Linked DNA regions of Saccharomyces cerevisiae S288C. Changing the gene in region 1 together with any one later gene gives a genetic interaction. Each region holds a gene or a part of one and is shown on either strand. Other genes may lie near its edges.

Region 1 (3,927 bases):
GTTAACAGCTTACCAGATATTTTACGGTACTTTGGCGAATCGTCAGCAAATCTCGTAATTGACCGGGCTTGATCGTGATTCTCGATGTAGGTGGTAGCCCAACTATCAGTACCGTTAATGAACAAAAAGTTCGATGCAATGGCTTCTTTCCATTGTTTCAAGGTGAAGGGCACTATGTTATAACGGAAAAATGGCGAGGTACCAACTTCAACGTGCGTGAAGGAGAAAACTTCGCTGACTTCGTATCTAGCTGCACTGGTGTATAAAGCATTATCACTTCCATGGGCAACTTCACCGACTGTCATTATTTCTCTACCATCTTTCACCCTGTTTTTCATAAATCTGTGTAGTTCTTGATGATATTCATGAATCCTAGGACCATTGTGAGACCCCCAATTTGGATGTTGTAATTTCGAGGTTTTGTCAAAAATTGGGGAATCTGGTAAACCAGGACGTTTCGAATACAAACCAGCGGTATCGATTCTAAAACCATCTACACCATGGTCCAGCCAAAATCCAACAGCACTTTCAAAGATTGCCCTTCTGCAGTCTTCATTCTCCCAATTCAAGTCAACTTGACGACTCGCAAACAAACGGAGGTAAAATTCATTTGTAGTTTCATCAAAAGTCCAAGCTGAACCACCAAAGAAAGATTTCCAATTGTTTGGAGGAATTGGCTTGCCTTCGGCGTCATAACCCTTAGGAGGTCTCCAGAAGAACCAGTCACGCTTCGGATTGGTCTTCGAGGATCTGCTCTCTTTGAACCATTCGTGTTCTGTAGAACAGTGGTTGATAACCAAATCGGTGATGAATTTCATACCCAGCTTATGAGTCTTGTCAATTAGCTCAAAACAGTCCTCATTGGTACCATATGTGGGCCAGACCTTTTCGTAGTTGGATATATCATACCCCATATCTTGTTGAGGAGAGTCATAAAACGGACAAACCCAAATAGCATCAACGCCAAGATCTTTAATATACTGCAACTTGGAAGTGATACCTTTTAAATCACCCCAGCCATCGTTATTGGAGTCTTTAAAACTTGCTGGGTAAATTTGATAGATTGTGGCCTCTTTCCACCACTTTGGTTCTGTTTCTGGATGATCAGAAATAGTCATTTATGTAATTTAGTTACGCTTGACTGATGTACATTTGAGATTATCAAAAAAACTGCTTAAGAGATGGATGATTTAATTTTTTAGAGACGTATTAATGGAACTTTTTATACCTTGCCCAGAGCGCCTCAAGAAAATGATGCTGCAAGAAGAATTGAGGAAGGAACTATTCATCTTACGTTGTTTGTATCATCCCACGATCCAAATCATGTTACCTACGTTAGGTACGCTAGGAACTAAAAAAAGAAAAGAAAAGTATGCGTTATCACTCTTCGAGCCAATTCTTAATTGTGTGGGGTCCGCGAAAATTTCCGGATAAATCCTGTAAACTTTAACTTAAACCCCGTGTTTAGCGAAATTTTCAACGAAGCGCGCAATAAGGAGAAATATTATCTAAAAGCGAGAGTTTAAGCGAGTTGCAAGAATCTCTACGGTACAGATGCAACTTACTATAGCCAAGGTCTATTCGTATTACTATGGCAGCGAAAGGAGCTTTAAGGTTTTAATTACCCCATAGCCATAGATTCTACTCGGTCTATCTATCATGTAACACTCCGTTGATGCGTACTAGAAAATGACAACGTACCGGGCTTGAGGGACATACAGAGACAATTACAGTAATCAAGAGTGTACCCAACTTTAACGAACTCAGTAAAAAATAAGGAATGTCGACATCTTAATTTTTTATATAAAGCGGTTTGGTATTGATTGTTTGAAGAATTTTCGGGTTGGTGTTTCTTTCTGATGCTACATAGAAGAACATCAAACAACTAAAAAAATAGTATAATATGAAAAATATCATTTCATTGGTAAGCAAGAAGAAGGCTGCCTCAAAAAATGAGGATAAAAACATTTCTGAGTCTTCAAGAGATATTGTAAACCAACAGGAGGTTTTCAATACTGAAGATTTTGAAGAAGGGAAAAAGGATAGTGCCTTTGAGCTAGACCACTTAGAGTTCACCACCAATTCAGCCCAGTTAGGAGATTCTGACGAAGATAACGAGAATGTGATTAATGAGATGAACGCTACTGATGATGCAAATGAAGCTAACAGCGAGGAAAAAAGCATGACTTTGAAGCAGGCGTTGCTAAAATATCCAAAAGCAGCCCTGTGGTCCATATTAGTGTCTACTACCCTGGTTATGGAAGGTTATGATACCGCACTACTGAGCGCACTGTATGCCCTGCCAGTTTTTCAGAGAAAATTCGGTACTTTGAACGGGGAGGGTTCTTACGAAATTACTTCCCAATGGCAGATTGGTTTAAACATGTGTGTCCTTTGTGGTGAGATGATTGGTTTGCAAATCACGACTTATATGGTTGAATTTATGGGGAATCGTTATACGATGATTACAGCACTTGGTTTGTTAACTGCTTATATCTTTATCCTCTACTACTGTAAAAGTTTAGCTATGATTGCTGTGGGACAAATTCTCTCAGCTATACCATGGGGTTGTTTCCAAAGTTTGGCTGTTACTTATGCTTCGGAAGTTTGCCCTTTAGCATTAAGATATTACATGACCAGTTACTCCAACATTTGTTGGTTATTTGGTCAAATCTTCGCCTCTGGTATTATGAAAAACTCACAAGAGAATTTAGGGAACTCCGACTTGGGCTATAAATTGCCATTTGCTTTACAATGGATTTGGCCTGCTCCTTTAATGATCGGTATCTTTTTCGCTCCTGAGTCGCCCTGGTGGTTGGTGAGAAAGGATAGGGTCGCTGAGGCAAGAAAATCTTTAAGCAGAATTTTGAGTGGTAAAGGCGCCGAGAAGGACATTCAAGTTGATCTTACTTTAAAGCAGATTGAATTGACTATTGAAAAAGAAAGACTTTTAGCATCTAAATCAGGATCATTCTTTAATTGTTTCAAGGGAGTTAATGGAAGAAGAACGAGACTTGCATGTTTAACTTGGGTAGCTCAAAATAGTAGCGGTGCCGTTTTACTTGGTTACTCGACATATTTTTTTGAAAGAGCAGGTATGGCCACCGACAAGGCGTTTACTTTTTCTCTAATTCAGTACTGTCTTGGGTTAGCGGGTACACTTTGCTCCTGGGTAATATCTGGCCGTGTTGGTAGATGGACAATACTGACCTATGGTCTTGCATTTCAAATGGTCTGCTTATTTATTATTGGTGGAATGGGTTTTGGTTCTGGAAGCAGCGCTAGTAATGGTGCCGGTGGTTTATTGCTGGCTTTATCATTCTTTTACAATGCTGGTATCGGTGCAGTTGTTTACTGTATCGTTGCTGAAATTCCATCAGCGGAGTTGAGAACTAAGACTATAGTGCTGGCCCGTATTTGCTACAATCTCATGGCCGTTATTAACGCTATATTAACGCCCTATATGCTAAACGTGAGCGATTGGAACTGGGGTGCCAAAACTGGTCTATACTGGGGTGGTTTCACAGCAGTCACTTTAGCTTGGGTCATCATCGATCTGCCTGAGACAACTGGTAGAACCTTCAGTGAAATTAATGAACTTTTCAACCAAGGGGTTCCTGCCAGAAAATTTGCATCTACTGTGGTTGATCCATTCGGAAAGGGAAAAACTCAACATGATTCGCTAGCTGATGAGAGTATCAGTCAGTCCTCAAGCATAAAACAGCGAGAATTAAATGCAGCTGATAAATGTTAAGTAAAAGGGTTGTTTTTTTTTTTTTGGAAGAAATAAGGAATCCCTTTGACTGCTCCCAAAACCCTCAGCTAGCTCGAGATTTTATATATATACATTTTTTATTTTTCTGTAAAACATTCATATTTACCATTTTTTAAGCAAAATATTGTTAGTAGTTAGTTAAAATAGCCCAA
Region 2 (3,927 bases), on another chromosome or scaffold:
GTATTACATAACTCATACCGCACTACCAGATATATGTCGTTACTATTTAAAGTGCGGTATGTAACATAGATAAAAATAAGTATATGTATATGTATAAAAATCTTGTCGTCACAATCATCAATCATTCAGATATGTAAATTCTGCCCTCCCATGGCTTCAATGTTCTGGAAGACGCATCAACTTCGCTTCTTGGGTAGTTTCCGAATTCCAACTTAAACGACGAGCTATTGTTTGGAATCGTGAAGTCAATCGAATCAGAGCTGAAGTTCAAAGCAGCAAACAATGTTTTGTTGTCGTATTTCTTTGTGAAGCTGAACAGTTTCTTATTGTCCAAATCAATAAACTCAAAATCATATCCATATACAGTAATATCCTTGTGTGCCTTTCTAAATCTCAAGGCCTCCTTCCAGAAGTTCAAAACCGAGTTGGGATCCTTGGATTCGTCTTCAGCGTTAATTCCTTCCCTGAAAGACTCGTTCAAGTAAAACCATGGTTTAGCATTAGGACCAGAAAAACCAGCATTTGGCTCCTCACGAGACCATTGCATAGGTGTTCTAGCATGGTCTCTGGAAATAAGGGCAATTGCTTCCAAAAACCTCTTCATCTCCTTCGAGTTTTCTCCATGCTCTTCCTTGATCGCATCATAGTTATTTCTAACTTCGACATCCTCGTATTTTTCGATAGGCCAGTTCTTGAAATTGATTTCACCCAGTTCCTGTCCTTGGTACACATATAGAGTACCGCTCAGTGACACCAACAACACAGACAACAACTTACCAGAAATAACACGGTTCTTAGGAGAATCGTCACCAAATCTGGTAATTGAACGAGGTTGGTCGTGATTTTCCAGATAAATTGTTGACCAACAATCAGTTCCGTTAACGTATCTGAAAAGTTCAGCAAGGGCAACCTTCCAATCCTTTAGTTCATATGGGATCAAATTTTGACGGAACTTGGGCGAAGTCCCGACATCAGTGTGGGAAAAGTTGAATAACTCACTAAGTTCGTGTCTTGATGCACTTGTATACAACCTCTTGGTTTCATCAGTAGCATGTTGCATTTCACCAACTGTCATAATTTCTCTGCCATCCTTCACTCTGTTTCTGATGAACTTGTTCATTTCTTGATGAAACTCATGGATACGTGGTCCGTTCATTGTGAAAGGATCACTGGGTTGCCACTTTGAGTTTTCGTCAATCACAGGAGCGTCTGGTAGACCAGCAACCTTGGAGTACAAGCTTCCCACATCAATTCTAAAGCCGTCTACACCATGGTCTAACCAGTATCCAACGGCACTTTCGTAGATTGCCTTTCTACAGTCCTCATTCTCCCAATTCAAATCAGGTTGGGTGGAGCAAAACAAACGCAAGTAAAACTCTTGTGTCTTTTCATCGAACGTCCATGCAGAACCACCGAAGTAAGACCTCCAATTGTTTGGAGGAATTGGCTTGCCTTCGGCGTCATAACCCTTAGGAGGTCTCCAGAAGAACCAGTCACGTTTTGGATTGGTTTTTGAGGATCTGCTCTCTTTGAACCATTCATGTTCGCTCGAGCAATGGTTGATGACTAAGTCGGTGATAAATTTCATACCAAGCTTATGTGTCTTTTCGATCAAGGCAAAGCAGTCCTCGTTCGTACCGTAGGTTGGCCAGACCTTTTCGTAGTTGGCAATATCGTAACCCATATCATCTTGTGGCGAGTCGTAGAATGGTGAGATCCAAATGGCATCGGCACCAAGCTCTTTGATATACTCCAACTTGGAGGCAATACCCTTCATATCACCCCACCCATCGTTGTTGGAGTCTTTGAAACTTGCGGGATAAATTTGATAGATTGTGGCCTCTTTCCACCACTTGGGTTCTGTTTCTGGATGTGCAGAAGAAATAGTCATTGTACGTTGCTTTCTTTTCTTTATGAAAAAACTTTCACTTTTGTTTGTGTGTTTGGACTGGTGAATGGAACATATATTCTAGTACAGCTAATTCCTCGAGTGAAGAAGTCTTTCTTACTTATATATGTCTTTTACGTGCCTATGGACGTCTTACGAATGATCGAAAATAAGAAAAGAACAAAGTAAATTTAGGATCTGGAAGGAGTGCTGTATGTAAACGAAGCTTTCAGTTTTAGGTAATGTTTGCACAACCTACATGATATAACATGGTATGTTCTGCAAGAGCGTGCCTGGCCCTTGGCCCGTTATAGCAGATCATACCATCTGCAAGCAGACCCCATTATTGCACTGCCTCCGCAATCTTGCGTATACGTAGTCCCACGACAAAGTACGAAGCGTAAACTGACCTTGTTCAGTTCCCCACAAAAATTACATAACCATTTCTCCGCGGAATTACATAATCATTTCTCCGCGAAAATTACATAATCATTTCTCCGTGCGAGTTATAAGTGCTTTTCTCGTGCATCCCTTGGCACTTCACAAAACCTTCTTTTTCTTTTTTTTCTTTATTTCAGGGGAAATCAGTGCAAAACTAAAAAAGAAAGAAATTTTGTGAAATGTAAACTCCAGGTGTCAAAAAATAAATTATATCCGTGGAAAATCAGGCGTCGGAAATTGTAGATGAAACCGCCTCCTCCACAATAAATGCTGACCACACGAACAATGCATACACTCGGACACCTTCGTTCAAAGTATCAGTAGCAGTTCGACACACCGTATACTACTTAGCTCTTAAGGTCTAGGCTCATCTTTCTCAGTTCCTCTTTTTCGCTAATTAAAGGTATATAATGTCACAGTTGTGTAACTAGAGAAGAGCACACTTGTTCCTATCTTTTTCTTCTTCTTTTTTTGGTATGAGTTGAAAAAAATAATCATTGCACAATTTAGTTCTAAACGCTTTTGTTATTACTCAATATCATGTCAGGTGTTAATAATACATCCGCAAATGAGTTATCTACTACCATGTCTAACTCTAACTCAGCAGTAGGCGCTCCCTCTGTTAAGACTGAACACGGTGACTCTAAAAATTCCCTTAACCTAGATGCCAATGAGCCACCTATTGACTTACCTCAAAAACCCCTCTCTGCGTATACCACCGTCGCAATCCTGTGTTTGATGATTGCATTTGGCGGCTTCATCTTTGGTTGGGATACCGGTACCATTTCTGGTTTTGTTAACCTTTCTGATTTCATCAGAAGGTTCGGTCAAAAAAATGACAAGGGAACCTACTACTTATCGAAAGTAAGAATGGGTTTGATCGTCTCAATATTCAACATTGGCTGCGCCATAGGCGGAATTGTCTTGTCAAAAGTCGGTGATATATATGGTCGTCGTATTGGATTGATTACAGTTACTGCCATTTACGTTGTAGGCATCCTAATCCAAATAACTTCCATAAACAAGTGGTACCAATACTTCATTGGAAGAATTATTTCTGGCCTAGGAGTGGGAGGCATTGCTGTCCTTTCCCCAATGTTGATATCTGAAGTTGCTCCCAAACATATCAGAGGAACTCTGGTCCAATTGTACCAGCTGATGGGTACGATGGGTATTTTTCTAGGATACTGTACCAATTACGGTACCAAGAACTATCACAACGCCACTCAATGGAGAGTCGGCCTTGGTCTTTGCTTTGCCTGGGCTACATTCATGGTTAGTGGAATGATGTTTGTACCAGAATCACCACGTTACCTGATTGAGGTTGGTAAAGATGAGGAAGCGAAACGTTCACTATCGAAATCCAACAAAGTCTCAGTTGACGATCCAGCCTTGCTAGTTGAATATGACACTATAAAGGCAGGAATTGAACTTGAAAAGCTGGCAGGTAACGCATCATGGTCTGAACTACTCTCCACTAAAACAAAGGTCTTTCAGCGTGTTCTCATGGGAGTGATGATCCAATCGCTGCAGCAATTAACCGGTGACAACTACTTCTTTTACTACGGTACCACCATCTTCAAATCTGTCGGTCTAAA

The links.
Region 2: of MAL11 (region 1) and IMA2, changing one enhances a phenotype caused by changing the other (phenotypic enhancement), as found in Saccharomyces cerevisiae (one study listed by BioGRID).

The regions. Positions count from the first base shown.
Region 1 is NC_001139.9:1,073,790-1,077,716, reverse strand, and holds MAL11 (alpha-glucoside permease), read left to right. Parts: upstream 1-1,903; coding exon 1,904-3,754; downstream 3,755-3,927. Other genes in the region: alpha-glucosidase MAL12, read right to left, coding at 1-1,118. UniProt on the Saccharomyces cerevisiae protein: High-affinity uptake of alpha-glucosides such as maltose, turanose, isomaltose, alpha-methylglucoside, maltotriose, palatinose, trehalose, melezitose and glucose. Acts with the concomitant transport of protons into the cell (symport system).
Region 2 is NC_001147.6:22,404-26,330, forward strand, and holds IMA2 (oligo-1,6-glucosidase IMA2), read right to left. Parts: upstream 1,892-3,927; coding exon 122-1,891; downstream 1-121. Other genes in the region: hexose transporter HXT11, read left to right, coding at 2,870-3,927. UniProt on the Saccharomyces cerevisiae protein: Alpha-glucosidase with specificity for isomaltase, methyl-alpha-glucoside, and palatinose.